Nothobranchius furzeri: one gene and its partner. The protein of the gene in region 1 binds, or shares a complex with, the protein of each later gene. Links are inferred from orthologs where the notes say so. Each region holds a gene or a part of one and is shown in the gene's direction. Other genes may lie near its edges. The genes, in order: gtf2h4 and polr2k.

The links.
Region 2: gtf2h4 (region 1) and polr2k share a complex: the UniProt entries of both Homo sapiens proteins name them as parts of the TBP-based Pol II pre-initiation complex. The link is inferred for Nothobranchius furzeri from reciprocal best matches to the Homo sapiens genes GTF2H4 and POLR2K.

What each region holds. Positions count from the first base shown.
Region 1 is NC_091751.1:25,567,028-25,575,754, forward strand, and holds part of gtf2h4 (general transcription factor IIH subunit 4), read left to right. Parts: intron 1-954; coding exon 955-1,038; intron 1,039-3,256; coding exon 3,257-3,398; intron 3,399-6,354; coding exon 6,355-6,485; intron 6,486-8,727. UniProt on the Homo sapiens protein: Component of the general transcription and DNA repair factor IIH (TFIIH) core complex, which is involved in general and transcription-coupled nucleotide excision repair (NER) of damaged DNA and, when complexed to CAK, in RNA transcription by RNA polymerase II.
Region 2 is NC_091759.1:1,438,192-1,446,261, forward strand, and holds polr2k (DNA-directed RNA polymerases I, II, and III subunit RPABC4), read left to right. Parts: upstream 1-4,047; 5' UTR 4,048-4,179; intron 4,180-4,383; 5' UTR 4,384-4,389; coding exon 4,390-4,450; intron 4,451-4,705; coding exon 4,706-4,798; intron 4,799-4,899; coding exon 4,900-4,922; 3' UTR 4,923-5,018; downstream 5,019-8,070. Other genes in the region: stk3 (serine/threonine-protein kinase 3), read right to left, coding at 1,071-1,269, 1,345-1,470, 1,554-1,691, 1,772-1,939, 2,034-2,198, 2,288-2,402, 2,500-2,628, 2,718-2,798 and 1 more. UniProt on the Homo sapiens protein: DNA-dependent RNA polymerase catalyzes the transcription of DNA into RNA using the four ribonucleoside triphosphates as substrates.

The sequences.
Region 1 (8,727 bases):
AGACATAGATCTGCTGCAGTGACACTCATGAATTATGCGTCCAATCGATGCTTTGGAACTCCTTAAGGATTACGCCAATGGCGAGATCCGAATGGGGAGAGCTTTTTTTTTAAGAGACCATGAAGACTTCTTCTAGAGCAGACCTAGTAGATCTATTTACTGAACTGGGCCCGGTGTCGGACTGCCCGCCCTGCCAGAGCAGTGAAACTGCTGCATTCTGGGGTTTTGTCTAGCCGGCTCGTTCCAGTGGGAATCTGCCCACAGGCAGATATTCCTTTGATTTGATGACCAAAATAGGACATTTCCAGCCTAAAACCCCTTTGGGTTAAATTTAATGTTCCCATTAGATGTGGAATATCTCAGTCAAAAGAACCATTATGCAGCTGATTTGGATGCATCATTAAAAGAACCATTGCCACCTTCAGATCTGACTATTTCTTTTTCATAAACACCCCGGATCTCTTGGTCAGTCTCACAGATCACCGCTGGAACAACGCTGTTCCACCTAAAGGCAATAAAAGGTTTCTTCGTGCCTCTACCTCGCCTACAAGCACATCGATTTTAGCCTCTGTGAAACAGCGTTGTCTAGACTTCTCCGTTGCCATGGGTAACTGTTTAGCCACAGATCAGCTGGCTTATTTCTATGCAGAGTGTTCATATAGTTCTTTGCATCGTCCATTTATGGCAGGAAGTGGGTGAGTATGAGTCAGGATATGATCCAAAATCACCTGAGGAAGAGTTGTTTCTTAAAGCAGGAGTTGTGTGCAGCTGTGTGTGTTGTGTATGTCCAAGTAACAGTTTGCATTAGTAAAATTTGTTTGCTTAGCTTAAGTAGAGTTTTAACACCGATGCTACACAAAGTTTTATAACCGGGGCCCCAGGACTGGATGCCATAGCATCAGGGAGTCATCTCCTGCCACGTCTCATGATTCTGTCCTCCGCTGTGTGCCTTAGGACTACTCTGTGGAGGGCATGAGTGAGTCCCTGCTTACGTTCCTGCAGCACCTTCGAGAGTTTGGTCTGGTGTTCCAGAGGAAGGTGAGGAAAACTAAGTGGTTGTGTTTATTCTGTTACTTTTGAACCAAACTGATATGTCTACTGCTCACTTGGGTTAGTTAAATACTCAGCTCTCACATTTGTGCTTCCATGTGGGTCTCTACTGCTTCTATCAACACTCCTAACACAAATAAAAATAAAGAGTAAAGCTGAAGAAATATGTGGGAGGGATTTAGTGCTGAACATGTTTTGTATCGGCCATAGTTTCAATACGCTTCTGCAATGTTTTAAGATTTGTTTCTGTCCAGTGTTGCATTCATTTATTGCCAAGATCTTGCTGGAGATAAAAAAAAAAGCTTATTTCCCACCAAAATTTGCAAATAAATTTTTCAAATATCAGACAAAATTATTTTCTAAATTTTTTTTTCTCATTTTGTCTCATAGTTGAGGTCTACCTATGATGAAAATTACAGGCCTCTGGTGGGCCAATCATAGTGCTCCATCTGCTTAGTGAACAAATCACAGAGCTTTAGCCGCTTTGTGGGCCAATCAGGGTTATTCTATATGCCTGGTGGGTGGGATGATGCAACAGAGTGAAACAAGAGTATGTCACATTCATTGTCCAGTAGCATGCAGAGATCATTTGAAAGACAACGGTAGAACCCGCCCCACAACCGAGAGCCGTCAATGGAGCGTGGCCAGACTAAATAATACATTTATTTAGTCTGGCTTGCCAGGCTAGCTTTTCATCAGTCTGAGATTCAAATATCAACTAACGATTCTCCAGAACCTTGGAGTAGGCCTTTTTTGGGAGGCTGAGTAGTGTGGTCCCACTATAGTTGGAACACACACTCTGGTTCCCTCTCTGAAAGTACAGGGACTACCACCCCTGATCTACATCCAGTGTTGTAGATGTTCTTGTGGTTCACGTCTGTACAACGAGGTGAGTGAAAAAAAGCACTCCGGTGTTTTCGGTCTTTTCACTAGCAGGGATGTTTTTCTGTCCCCCAGTCAATGGACTGATCTGTAGCTCTGCCCTAAATAATCCATTCCATTATCCAGTAGACCTACAGGTGAAGGGGGGCCCAGGAATGCGGTGGTACGGGTTGGTTTTATGGGCCACTTTGACAGTGGAAACGGACTAAATAGCAAACCGACTCATGCCGTACCACTCAGTGGAAACAAGGCGGTGGTTAGGGTTAGAGAGGAAAGCCAGCAGTTGAAAGTTGAGGTCAGAGTAATGAATTGAATTCCCCTGCTGGGTGTTTGATTTTTATTTGATAGGGCCTATGGTTAAAATCTGATGTTAGCCTAGATCTGGACGAGTGTGTGTGTGTGTGTGGGGGTGGGGGGGGGGGGGGGGGGGAGTGTACAGTCGGTAAAGACGGCTCTCCCTTGCCCTGCCTCCAACATGCCTCCATCTAAAAGGGCTAGGTTATCCAGAGTTATCTCTGTAGTTATGCTGCTATAGGCTTAGACTGCTGGAGGATACACTGACCACTTTTCACACTCTACTACTTTCTTCTACAATCTGCTCTTTAACTGTATTATTTCCTGCTACTTCAGATGTTAACTTTATTTTTTCTCTAAGTGTTTTTCTCCCCAGAAGAAGCTACAACGATGTTCTGCTGAGCTGTGGTGGCCTCGTAGAGGGGGCCATCATCTAGCACACTGCTGCTAACCACTTAAACATTCTCCCTCTCCTGATAATAACTTTTTACTTTCCTTGACGTTGGATGTGCTACTACTAGTTTACCTGTTTAATTATAGATTCACTAGGACAAATACAATAGTTTATCCCTGCCAACTAGAATATTTACTAAGGAATCACAATGTAACCATAGACACATTGCTTTGTGTGTGTGCATGTGTGTGTGTGTGTGTGCGTGCGCGCATGCGTGCGTGCATTTGCGTGTGTGTGTGTGTGCTCTGTCTTCTCCATCCCCAGTGAGTCATGGAGGATGGCTGCTTATACTGAGCAAGGATTCTCTGGAGGTTTCTTCCTGTTAAAAGGGAGTTTTCCTCTCCACTGTCGCTTTATGCTTGCTTAGTATGAGGATTGCTGTATAGTCACTGACACTAGTCAGTGACTTGATGCAATTTGCTGGGTTCCTTATATAGGAAACATTATTTCTGATTGGCTTAATGAACTGACCTGAATTGGAATGTTTATTATGTGAAGTGCCTTGAGACGACTTTTGTCGTGATTTGGCGCTATATAAATAAACTTGAATTGAATTAATTCCTGGTGTTTATGCAGAGAAAGTCCCGACGGTACTACCCCACCAGACTGGCCATCACTCTAGCTGCTGGAGTCTCCTCTTCCTCCTCTTCGCCTGCTGAAACTGCAGACGCAGGCTTCATCGTTGTGGAAACGAACTATCGTATCTACGCCTACACCAGTACGTACAAACTCCTTTTTTGCTCTGAGACTCTGAGTAGTACAGAAGATTTTAGCTTTTTGTCTTGATCAGTCATAAGTGGGACGTAATAGTTCCTTTGAGGCCTTGTCAGGTTCTGTAGTGATGAGTTCTCCCCAGGTCCCCTGGAGATGCACGATTTAATGATAAATGACCCACACTTGCATAGCGTCTCTCAGAGTAAGGACTCCAAAGCGCTTTACACTACAGTGTATCATTCATCCATTCACACTAACATTTACACACTGATGGTGATGAGCTACAATGTAGCCACAGCTGCCCTGGGGCGCACTGACAGAGGCGAGGATGCCGAGCACAGGCGCCACCGGTCCCTCCGACCACCACCAGCAGGCATGGTGGGTTAAGTGTCTTGCCCAAGCCCCCACAATGCGGGTGAAAAATTGAGGCAAACGCGGAAGTGACAAAAATTGCAGTTCCACCCTCATCCACTAGGGGCTGGTGTCAGAAGCGAGCAAATCCTCATTGACTCCCATGTTAAAAATACCAATTTCACAGCAGAAATAAACATGTTTACAGCCTGGTACCAAAACATGTTTTTTGTTTAAATGATCTAGTTTACACTCATGACAACTCTGAGGGGGGTGAATTTTTTTCTCACTCTTCTGTTTAAGTGTATTAAAAGCCTAAAATTCTGTATAATTAATGAGCATCAGACCCACGTGACCACAGAGCTAGCTCCGTGGAAAGGCCTCAGCAGAGCCTCGGTCTGGCCTGGAAACTGCTCCGGGATTTTGAGTCTCCGTGTTTGTGTATTCTTTTTTGGATATTTTTTGTGCAATTGTTGGACAAAATGACTTGCTGTGGCATTAATTGCACTAATAGAGCGTCCAAGGAGTCTCGACTTGATTTTTTACTGTAAGTAAAATTATATTTATGTATTTTAGGTCACTGCCGAGCTGAGCTTAGATTTTAACATGTACTGTTTAACCATGAAATTTAAATGTAATAGGGTAAAACCCAGTACATTTAACATAATGCTGCACTTTAGAAAATGGGTTGAAATATAACATGTTGGTGGAGCTGGGTTCCCACTATCGGCTTGTGGAGCTCTCGGGAAACCAATGTTTTCCATCCGGTTCTCCCCTCCCCGCAGCTTGGTCCATCTCTGTCTGATCGCGGCTTCTGTCTGCTGTGCGGGCTGCCGGCTTGTGGAGCTCTGGGATGGAAGCCTTTCTACCCGGTTCTCCCCAGCGGCAGCTCTGCGCATCTCAGATCGCAGCCGCGCCTGTCTGCTGTGCGGCTGCCGGCTTGTGGAGGTCTCGGAGACCTCTGTGTTCCACCCGGTTTTACCCAGCGGTCAGCCCGGCGTATCTCTGACTCAGAAGCTCCGGTGTTGTGCACAATTAACTCCGGTTGTAGCTAGGTTGCTACCTCCGTTAGCTTAACTCCCACCTCCGCGTTAGCTTTGGGTTAGCTTGTAGCTACATCACTTCAGTTCGACGGGTGTCGTCAATTTATCCCAGCCTTACAGCTCCACCTCTTTTCCCATTTTTGGAATTATCTGGGCTTGACGGAACCTGTGACACGGTCAAAATGGCGGTGGTGGCCACTTCCCATTTATCTTCAAAAATGTGTTATTGGAGCCTGTGGAAACCCATTGTACAATATTTATATGTCGTTGGTCTTGCCCAAGGACACAACAGCAGAATTCTCGGTCCGGAGCCGGGATCGAACCTGCATCCTTCCAATCACTGGAGAACCCACTCAACCTGTTGTGCTACTGCTGCCCCTTAACTCACTGAGGAACCAGTGGTACTTAACCACCAGTGTCACCAACACCGTTTTTTTTTATACATCACGTATCTGTTATAAAACACACTTGAATAAAACCTTATCCTAATAAACCATCAAAGCTAACTGTTCTGAAGAACCAACATGTGAGTTTGCTCTGACTTGGTACCGGTCTGTGTGAGAAGGGTCAGGTCATTGGCATCAAGCAGAGAAAACATCATAAGGAGATTGCAGAAACGACTAAAACTGGGTTAGGAACTGTCCGACGCTTTATTAATAACTGGAAGGATTGTGGGGACCCAATGTCTTCGAGGAAGAAATTTTGCCGGTAAAAAAAATCCTGAATGATTGTGATAGGTGATCACTTAAACCTTTGGTGAAATCAAATAAAAGAAAAACAACAGTCGAACTCTGGGCTAAGTTTAATAGTGGAAGTAAGAGCATTCCCACACACAATGCAAGGAGAATTCAAGTTATTGGGACTGAACAGCTGTGTAGCCATAAGAAAACCACTAATCAGTGGAGCAATCTGGAAAGAAAGGCTTTAATTTGCAAGAGAACATAAAGATTGGACTCTGTAGCGATGGACGGAGGTCATGTGGTCTGATAAGGCCAGATGAGCCCTGTTCCAGAGTGATGGTGCATCAGGGTAAGAAGAGAGGCAGATGAAGTGATGCGCCCATCATGCATAGTGTCTACAATCCTGTGGGGGCAGTGCTATGATCTGGGCTTGCTGCAGGTGGTCTGGTCTAGGTTCAGCAACAGGATGTGCTCCAAGAATGAGGTCAGCTGACTACCTGAGTATACTGAATGACCAGGTTACTCCATCTTCCCTGATGGCACGGGCATATTCCAAGATTGCTTAACGTACAGTTTATTAGCCGGCCTCTAGATGGTGTCCTCTGAGGAAAAAAATGCTGGATTTCTGCTTTAAATGACCTGAAGAACTCACAGAAGGCCAGGCTTGGTTTCCGTAGTCCACTTTTAATCTGGTGCAGTTCTGAAGCAGTTGTATCTGTCTGCAGGTGCTTCCACTAGATTTCCTGTCTCATTATCCCTGGCTCTGCCAAGTTTGTTTCTTGTTATTGAGTCTGTTGTTTACATGATTTTGTGTTGTTAAACTGTAACAGTGTGCTAAAAACCCTGGTGCAGCGCGGACCAACTGACTGGGTTTCTTCCCTCTCAGACTCAGAACTTCAGATTGCTCTTGTGGCTCTGTTCTGCGAGATGTTGTATCGGTTCCCTAATGTGGTGGTGGCTCAGCTCACACGAGAGTCGGTGCAGCAGGCCATCGCCAACGGCATCACAGCTCAGCAGGTACACACACACCCTAACTGCCAGTATTTAAAGTATTTTGTGCATTATTGAGTCGATCTGATTTTACACATCTAGACATCTGCCCAAATGTCAGGTGAGGGATCTTGTTGATAGTCCATGTGAGCCCTTGCTTATTATTACAGTTAGCTAGTAGCTTCTCAGTAACAACTGATGTGTGTGTTTCAGAGTGCAACACAAACTAGGCCATGGTTTGGTGTTTGAATGAGACTTGCTATGTACACATAACTTAATATATTGATGTTTTTAAAATTTTAAAATACCAGGCAGCTCCATTCTTTTAAATTATCTTTTATATAGCGCCTCTCAAGATAAAAATCACAAGGTGCTTCGCAAAAATTTTAAATATAAAAAAGATCTTTAAAATTTTTTTTAAATATGTTTAAAATGACAAAAAAGAAATGTGTTCAAAAATGTAAGGAAAGTAAGAGAGAAAATTAATATTAAAATGGATCCCAGGAAAGGCGGAATAAGGAGAGATTGGTGATGAAGGTCACACCAAAGCCTGAACAGGTGAGTCTTCAGCTGCTTTTTAAAGGAGACCACTGAGTCCACTGATCTCAGGCTCGGGGGGAGAGAGTTCCAGAGTCTGGGGGCCACAGCAGCAAATGATCTGTCACCTTTGGTCTTTAGCCTGGTGCTGCACAACCAGTAGGCTTTGATCACTGGACCTCAGGGACCTGCTGGGGGTGTAGGGACTAAGAAGATCACCAATGTAAGATGGTGCTTGTCCATGTAAGGCCCTATAGACCAGAACCAGGATCTTGAAATGAACCCTGAAGTTAACTGGCAGCCAGTGAAGCTGGAGGAGAAGCGGGGTGATGTGGGTGTGTTTGGAGGACTTGGTCAGAAGCCGAGCACAGGCGTTCTGAACCACCTGTAGACGGTTCAGGGAGGTTCTGCTCAGACACGTGAAAAGAGAGTTACAGTAGTCTAAGCGTGAGGAGATGAAGGTGTGGATAACTGTCTCAAGTTCAGAGCGAGACAGAATGGGACTCAGCTTAGCAATGTTCCTGAGATGGAAGAAGGAAGAGCGAACAAGAGAACTGACATGAGAATCCAGGGTGAGAGCTGGGTCAAAGGTCACGTCAAGATTCCTGACGGAAGGTTTGGTGTGAGAAGCAAGTTGACCAAGAGAATCTCTGACTTTGGGAACCAGCTTGTCTGGGGCACAGATGAGGATCTCAGTCTTATCTTCATTCAGCTGAAGAAAGCTCCCAGCCATCCAGGTTTTTATAGAGTCTAAGCAGGTGTGTAACAGCTGCAGCTTAGACATCTCATGGGGCTTAAAGGAGATGTACAGTTGGATGTCATCTGCATAAAGATGGTAGGAGATTCCTTTGAAGGAGCTCAGGATGTGCTGAAGAGGAAGCAGATAGAGGAAGAGCAGAGGCCCCAGCACAGAACCTTGTGGGACACCATGGGTAAGAGAGGTGGTGGAGGACCTAAACTTGGAGACGGCCGCAGAAAAGGAACGCTCAGAAAGAGAAGAGGAGAACCACTCCAGAGCAGTTCCTGATAGGCCTACCCAGTCTCTCAGCCTCTCCAGTAGCAGGTGATGGTCAACAGTGTCAAAGGCTGCAGTCAGGTCCAGCAGGACCAGAACAGAACAGTCCCCTGCATCACTGTGAGTCAGAAGGTCATTAGAGACCCTAAGAAGAGCTGTTTCAGTAGAATGAGCTCTACGAAAACCTGACTGGAAGCTATCATAGATGTTCTGTTCATCAAGAGCAGCTGTGAGTTGTTTAGCCACAACCTTTTCCAAGATCTTGGAGATGAACAGCAGTTTAGAGATGGGTCTGAAGCTGCTGTGGAGAGAGGGGTCGAGACTCGGTTTTTTAAGAAGCAGGTGGATTACAGCGTTCTTAAAGTTAGCAGGGACCTAACCAGAAACCAGAGAAGCATTAATTATAGAGAGCACGCTGGGACCGATGGACTGAAAAGCACCTTTAAACAAAGATGAGGGTAAGATGTCGAGGGGGCATGCAGAGGTCTTCATAGAGTTAACTAGTTTCGTTAACTCAGGCAAAGAAATGGTGTTAACCCTCACAGGCTCAAATTAAGTTTTGATCAAAGGACGAACAACTAAGTCCTTCAGGGGTACTTCTGAGTTAAAAAATGCTCATGAAATACGCATGTGGAGTAACCAGGTAGGTAGGTTTTAATGTTGCAAATCTGCAACACCTGCCTCCAGAGGGTTAAACAGCACCTTGGGGTTCCCCTT
Region 2 (8,070 bases), on another chromosome or scaffold:
GCAGCAGCTCGGGCTAGCGTCGGCAGCAGCTCGGGCTAGCGTCGGCAGTAGCTCGGGCTAGCGTCGGCAGTAGCTCGGGCTAGCGTCGGCAGTAGCTCGGGCTAGCGTCGGCAGTAGCTCGGGCTAGCGTCGGCAGTAGCTCGGGCTAGCGTCGGCAGCAGCTCAGGCTAGCATTGGCAGCAGCTCGGGCTAGCATTGGCAGTAGCTCAGGCTAGCATTGGCAGCTGCTTGGGCTAGCATTGGCAGTAGTTCAGGCTAGCATTGGCAGCAGCTTGGGCTAGCATTGGCAGTAGCTCAGGCTAGCATTGGCAGCAGCTTGGGCTAGCATTGGCAGTAGCTCAGGCTAGCATTGGCAGCAGCTTGGGCTAGCATTGGCAGTAGCTCAGGCCAACGTTGACAGTTGCTCAGGATAGTGTTAGCAGTATCTTGGAATAGCATTGGCTGTAGCTCGGGATAGTGTTGGCAGTAGTTTAGGGTGGTGCTAGTGTTAGCTCAAGTAGCATAGCTGTGGCTAACTTTGTTCTGTAGTTAACATGATCATGGCCAGTGTCTATATAATGCTGAACTTGAAGTTGGTTGGAACATGCCAATAGGGCTTGCGACCACACGTGATTAAGCATAGCATTCTGGAGACGGCACAGACCTTTAGGCTGCGAGTTGCCCACATTTCCAACCTGACTCCAAGTTGGAGCCCTGAACAAATTTGCAGACATGCATCTAAATTTTGCTGCTGCCAGCTTCCATCCTGCATGTCAAAAATTTGAGACTGTTGCAGATTGAGCTTGTGTTGAATTTTTTCCCCAAAGCTTTGGTTTGCCTCAGGGAAAACGGAAGGTCAGAGCAGACAAAGAGCTGCTTTATAGTGAAGTGGGAAAACAAAAAGGTTGACGTGAAAGAGCACGTTTGTAGCATCAGCAGTCACGAGGGCATGGTTTTAACACTTCTTCCTCTTTGGAAAGAAGCCAGTTTTTCCGACACCATCCATTTAAACCAAAGTTAAAAGCCAAGTTCACGCAGCAAAGTGAAAGAGATGTTTAAATTCCCCCTCATTCTCTCAAATATGTGCTCACGTCTCATGGATCTCTGGGCTTCCTCCTCGTTTTCATCATCACTATTAATGACCATGGTGCCCAGGTCCGACTCCAGCATGGTGCTGTGCTCAATCATGGTCTGTGCCCCGTCGCTCATGGTGCTGGTGGCTCGCATGGTCCCCGCGCCCTCGGTTCCAGACTTCACCATGGTGTGAGAGTCCACCTCCGTCTCGTCCTCCTATAGGAGACAAACCCCTGCAGTATAAACGTTTTACTGGAACTTTATTGGTTAATGCACGTGAACAAAACGTACAGAGTTGTCCTCTTCCTCCTCTAGCTCTCTCTGCTGCTCCTGCTGCCTCTTCGCCTTCATCTCCATGGCTTCAGTGATCAGATCTCTCAGGATCGTGACCGGCTTGGCCTGGCTGATGAACGGATGCTGCGTTTCCACAACAGGAAAAGGAAATTAAATCGCTCAGATTGGAAGCAGGATTGTACAGATGAAGACCTTCTTGCTCCAACCTGTAGTAACTGAGTTGCAGTTGCTCTCTGCTCTGGGTTTTTAACCAAACACTTCTTTACAAAGTCTGTGAAATCGTCTGACCAAAGCTCCGGCTTCCGAAACGTAGGAGGGGGGTTGGTGGGGATCATAAAGATGGCCTGTGGGAAATCAAAAGTGGGAAAGTGTCAAATGTTTTCTTTTAAAACCCTAAATTCATTAAAAACTAAAGAATACGCACCCTCATAGGATGGATGTCAGCGTAGGGAGGTTTACCCTCAGCCATTTCTATGGATGTGATACCCAGAGACCAGATGTCTGCAACACAGTTGTAGCCGATCTCCTGGATCACTTCTGGGGCCATCCAAAATGGCGTCCCAATCACAGTGTTCCTCTTTGCCATCGTGTCCTTCAGACATTAAACACATACCATCAAAATTCAGCCAGAGATCGACTGAAGCTGGCATCAGTGCATTGCTGCAAACATTTGGCGACAGTGTTACCGTAAGCTGTCCTGCAACGCCAAAGTCAGCCAGTTTGGCGTGCCCCTCGGTGTTGAGAAGGATGTTTCCCGCCTTGATGTCGCGGTGGATCTTTCTCATGAAGTGAAGATACTCGAGACCCTTCAGTGTTGACTTGAGGATGGTGGCAATCTCCTCTTCTGTCAGCTGACGTGGGAAAAAAAGGAAAATACAAAAGTAAATCAGCAATTTAACCTATTTTATGAGCCAAGCTGTAACTTTTTAGAAACGCGCACCGTTTTGTTTCTCAGCCTGATGATGTCAGAAACAGAGCCGGCTCCGCAGTACTCCATGACTATCCACAGATCTGTGTTTTTAAAGTAGCTGCCGTAGTATTTCACAACATACGGGCTAAGAGGAAGGCAAACAAACGTGGTTCTAAAAAACTGGTGCAAAGGCGACTTTGGACAGTCTCATTCATTAGAATTAAAGAAAGTTGGGGTGTCACCTGTCACACTGCTGCATGATGGAGATCTCCTTGATGATTTCCTGCAGGTCAGACTCCACAGGAACCTGCTTGATGGCCACCACCTGCCCTGACTCTTTATGAATGGCTTTAAATACACTGCCATAGGAGCTGATTACACAAAGAAATGCATCTTTTAAGTGAAACTACTAAATAAACTATGATTTACACAGTAATTAGATCAAGTTAAAACATCTCACCCTTCACCAAGTTTCTCTAAAACATCAAACACCTCCTCCGGCTGCTTGGTCAAGCTGTCCTCGCTCAGCTTTTTCAGCTTGCTGAAAAATTCAGCAAAAATATTGTGTATTTAACACAATGTCTCTTTAATAATGGAAGAAAGACACAATATTTCTTTATATATGCACATCAAAGTTTATTTTATAGAGTAAACATTACTTTCTGTAGGAGAACTTGAGTGTGTGTTTATAACTTAAGAGGAATGATGAAAATAATTGATGAAATCTAGATAAAAATACTGTTTAAAAAAATTTTGAGATATTTTTGGTCTTTGATCATAATCTGGATTTAATGCAACCTAGTATCAATGTACACAAATTAAACAGATAATAAACAATTTAATCCTACTGTCTTATAAAATTTAAATACATTTTAAATTTAATTAACTTAAAAGGTGCTAGCTTAAGCTAACCAGTAAATAGATCGGTCCAAAATAAAGTAAACAGTTACTTCGAATAAATTATGATTTTCCTTAATACACATTTAATTTATTATATATTTTTGAAGCGACAATGAAATCACCCCCAACGACGCGAAATCCAAAAACGTCTAAACAATTAAACAAACCATAATCTCAATGGAGGTTTTAACCGGTTTTGTGTTTTTACTTTCTGCTTGTTTATCTCTGTGGAAAGTTTGAGAGAACTGAATTCGCTTAGCATTAGCATCCTGAGCTACCGCCTACATTAGCCTGGTGGTAAAGCAGAGGTCTCAAAGCAAACGTTCACAAACCTTTTAGGCGCGGACGGCTCCATGGTACACCAACTCGGAAACAAAAGTCAAACAAAGTATGAAAAAGAGAGCGCGGGTTTGTCAGTGGTAGTCAAGACGTGGACATTGTCGGCAGATTCGTTGTTGTCACAAACTAGTGGAGGAGGGCCAGCTGGGGGGAGCTCTTCAAATGATGGACATTCTTGTGTTCGACGCTGCGACAGCGCCCCCTGTCGGGACGGAAGCGCACTTTACATTGTTTTATTTTACAAAAACACAATTACGAATCAGATTGACAATGTTTGGCTCGAGTCAAAAACAAAAACTCTAAATAAAGTCTAATTTATTCATAAGGTCCCAAAAGAATACTAAATTAAGCCAGAATTTGTAGCGTAACGGTAATTGAAAAATGAAACACCCGTGTTGTGGATTTGCTTTCAAGAGGATGTTGTGTCAAGACAGGAACATTTTTAGTATAAAATATACAAAAAAAAATTCTTTGCTTCCAATTTTTAAAATCAGTTCAGATGTGTTTCGAATAATTCACAATGCCTCAAAACCGCTGGGTGACAGTAAAGGCACGTAAAGCGTGTCGATCGTCCTGTAAAACCAAGAAGAAGAAATTTGACGCAAGCGCAGAAACCCAATCGTAAAAGCGGATGGTTTAGTGTGTGAAAACAGTAAACATTTCCCAAATTACGCAGTTAAACGGTGAGTCATTTCGCTTCCTTTCATCAGTAATTAACTAAATGCATGTACACGGTTTAATTTGTGCTCTGTGCGTATACAGTTTCACCAAATTCAGAGACGTTTATGCAGTTTTGAGCTAATGTCCGGAGCACCATGCTGTTTCTGTTAGCATGCTAACAAGAAGAAGGGTTGTTGATGAAATGTTTACATTTCTGTCTTTTATAGAACAAAATGGACACACAGAAAGATCTACAGCCGCCCAAGCAGCAACCAATGATCTACATTTGTGGAGGTTTGCTGATGAAGCAACTATCATTGCAATTCTTGATGGTTTTATTCACGAAATATAGAAAAGTCATCAGAAAAATACTAGTTATGACTAATTAAAACATATTTCTTATTAGTAAATATTCCATTTTAGCCTGACAGCATGTAAACGTCGATTGTTAATGTGTTTGCACAATTATACTGTTCTAAATTAATTTTGCAGCAGTTCTGAAATACATTTATATGTCTTTATAAATGTATATATTTTTTTTTTATGCAGAGTGTCACACTGAAAACGAAATAAAGGCCCGCGACCCGATCAGATGCAGAGAATGTGGCTACAGAATCATGTACAAGAAGAGAACAAAGAGATGTATCCTTTCTCTCTCTCTCTCGTGTGTGTGTGTGTGTGTGTGTGTGTGTGTGTGTGTGTGTGTGTGTGTGTGCTTATTTTCCTTGACTCATTGATTCCAGTGGTTGTTTTTGATGCACGATGAAGAGGAGTGGAGCTGCAGATTGATCTTTAGTTGTTGTTTTCTGTTTTTATTGAGTCTGACCTTGTAAATAAACATAAACTGGGGCTTCAGCTTTCATGTTGGTGTAGATTCTCGCTCATTCGGGTCGTGGCATTCCTAAATTGCACTTCTTGCTGAAACATCTTAGAGCAGCAAGATAAATTCAGCCTTTTTGGTTTTTGGCATCCGCGGTTTGTGTCAGGTGTTCCTTATGTTATTTTAGTAAATAATAATGATGCATAAAAGTTTTATTTTAGAAAAATCAGTTTGATTTGACTGTTTTCTTTTAAAATCCTTTGTGGCCAGCAACATTAACAGGATGAAAACTCTTCAGTTAGTTTAACACATCTGCTAAATAGATATGATCCACAGTCATTCCTGAAATAAAAATCAACCTTTAGGATTTAAATTCAAAGTTTTAACCACATTTCTCTAAGAAGGAAAATTCTCATCTGCTGGCCAACAATTCACAGATTCACCAATGTTTTTTGGTTTGTTTATCTGAGAGCACGTTGTCGTGTTTATTTTAAAATTTTCATAATCTTGTTAAATTATGGGGTCTCATTTCTAAGTGAGACTTGTTTTAATCAAACATGCAAGAGAAGAAATTAGTAACAAGAATATTTAGTTACGAAGAAGATTGTAAAAAAAGTGTCTAAATAAAATGTGGAAAGAAAATCAGTTTCTCAAAAACGTTTGACTCAAAAATATTTAAGTGAAGAAAAGGTTTTTGTTAGCTTTTACAAATTCAATTCAATTCAAGTTTATTTATGTAGCGCCAAATCACGACAAGAGTCGTCTCAAGGCACTTCACATAATAAACATACCAATCCAGGTCAGTTCATTAAGCCAATCAGAAATAATGTTTCCTATATAAGGAACCAAGCAAATTGCATCAAGTCACTGACTAGTGTCAGTGACTATACAGCAATCCTCATACTAAGCAAGCATAAAGCGACAGTGGGGAGGAAAACTCCCTTTTAACAGGAAGAAACCTCCAGAGAATCCTGGCTCAGTGTAAGCAGGCATCCTCCACGACTCACTGGGGATCGAGAAGACAGAGCAGACACACACACACACACACACACACACACGTGCGCACACATACTCACACACGCGCACACACAAAGACACACACACACACACACGTGCGCACGCATACTCACACACGCGCACACACAAAGACAAGTAATGTGTCTATAGTTATATTGTGATGTCTTAGTAAATATTCTATTTGGTGAAAGATAAACTTTATTGTGTTTGTTCTAGTGGATCTATAATTAAACGGATAAACTAGTATTAGCACATCGCACGTCAAGGAAAGCAAAAAGTTATTATCAGGAGAGGGATAATGTTTTAGTGGTTAGCAGCAGTGTGCTAGTCGATGGCCCCCTCCATGAGGCCACCACAGCTCAGCAGAACATTGTTGTAGCTTCTTCTGGGGAGAAAAACACTTACAGAGAAAATAAAGTTAACAGCTGAAATTGCAGAAAATAATGCAGTTAAAGAGCAGATTGTAGAAGAAAGTAGTCGAGTGTGAAAAGTGGTCAGTGTATCCTCCAGCAGTCTAAGCCAATAGCAGCATAACTACAGAGATAACTCTGGATAATCTATCCTATTTAGTTGGAGGCATGTTGGAGTCAGGGCAAGGGAGAGCCGTCTTTACCGACTGTACACTCCACCTCCCTCTACTCCCCCAATTGTCCAGATTTAGGCTAACATCAGATTTTAACCATAGGCCCTATCAAATAAAAATGTTTTAAGCCTATTCTTAAAAGTAGACAAAGTGTCTGCCTCACGGACTAAAGCTGGAAGCTGGTTCCACAGGAGAGGAGCCTGATAACTAAAAGATCTGCCTCCCATCCTAATTTTAGATATTCTTGGAACCACCAGTAGACCTGCAGTCTGAGAGCGAATTGCTCGGTTAGGAACATATGGAACAATCAGATCACTGATGTATGATGGAGCTTGATCATTAAGAGCTTTATATGTGAGAAGGATTATCTTAAAATCTATTCTGAATTTAACAGGTAGCCAATGTAGGGAAGCTAAGACAGGAGAGATATGATCTCTCTTTTTAATTCTCATCAGAACTCTAGCTGCAGCATTTTGGACAAGCTGAAGACTTTTGACTACATTCTGTGGACTTCCTGAAAGTAATGAATTACAGTAATCCAGTCTTGATGTAATAAATGCATGAACTAGTTTCTCAGCATCACTCCTGGAAAGGATGCTTCTAATCTTAGCAATATTCCGAAGGTGGAAAAAGAAAGTCCTACAAGCTTGTGAAACCTGGGATTTGAATGACATGTCCTGGTCAAAGATAACACCAAGGTTCCTTACTTTGTTCTCGGAGATTAATGTAATGCCATTCAGGTCAGGCGATTGGCTAAGCAATTTCCTTTTCTGGATTTCTGGTCCAAAGATGAGAACTTCCGTCTTGTCTTGATTTAAAAGCAAAAAGTTTAGAGTCATCCAATGTTTTATGTCCTCAAGACAAGCCTGTAATCTACCCAACCGATTAGGTTCATCAGGGTTAATGGATAAATATAGCTGAGTATCGTCAGCATAACAGTGGAAGTTTATCCCATGCTGTCTAATGATTTTACCAATTGGGAGCATATATATAGTAAAAAGAATTGGTCCAAGCACTGAACCCTGTGGTACTCCACAAGTAACCCTGGAGTATGAAGACGATTTGTCGTGTACAAATCAGAAGTGGCCTAGGAATAGCAAAGTATGAATTGACATAGTCAGGAAGACGCAGTATGTTAACAAGTGAAACAGCAACTTGTAACTCTTTTCACTTGCTTATGATTTTTAAGTCTTAATTTGTTATCTAAACCATATTTTTTTCATTGGAAGAGGTGCAAAGAATAACAAAATTTTAAAAGCAGAGGAAACAATAACAAAAAACTAGCCAATTAATTACTCCTGATACAATTTAAGGGCCAAATCTTCATATTTTCATGTTTTTAATAGATTAAATTAACCCCCAAGTGTAATTATATAGATATAGATCTGGTTATGCGTGTTCATATTAACCCTTTAATTTTTAGGTCAAATGCTTGATAAAAACATTTAAATCTTTGAATTTAACTGCACTGAACTCAATACTAAATACTACACT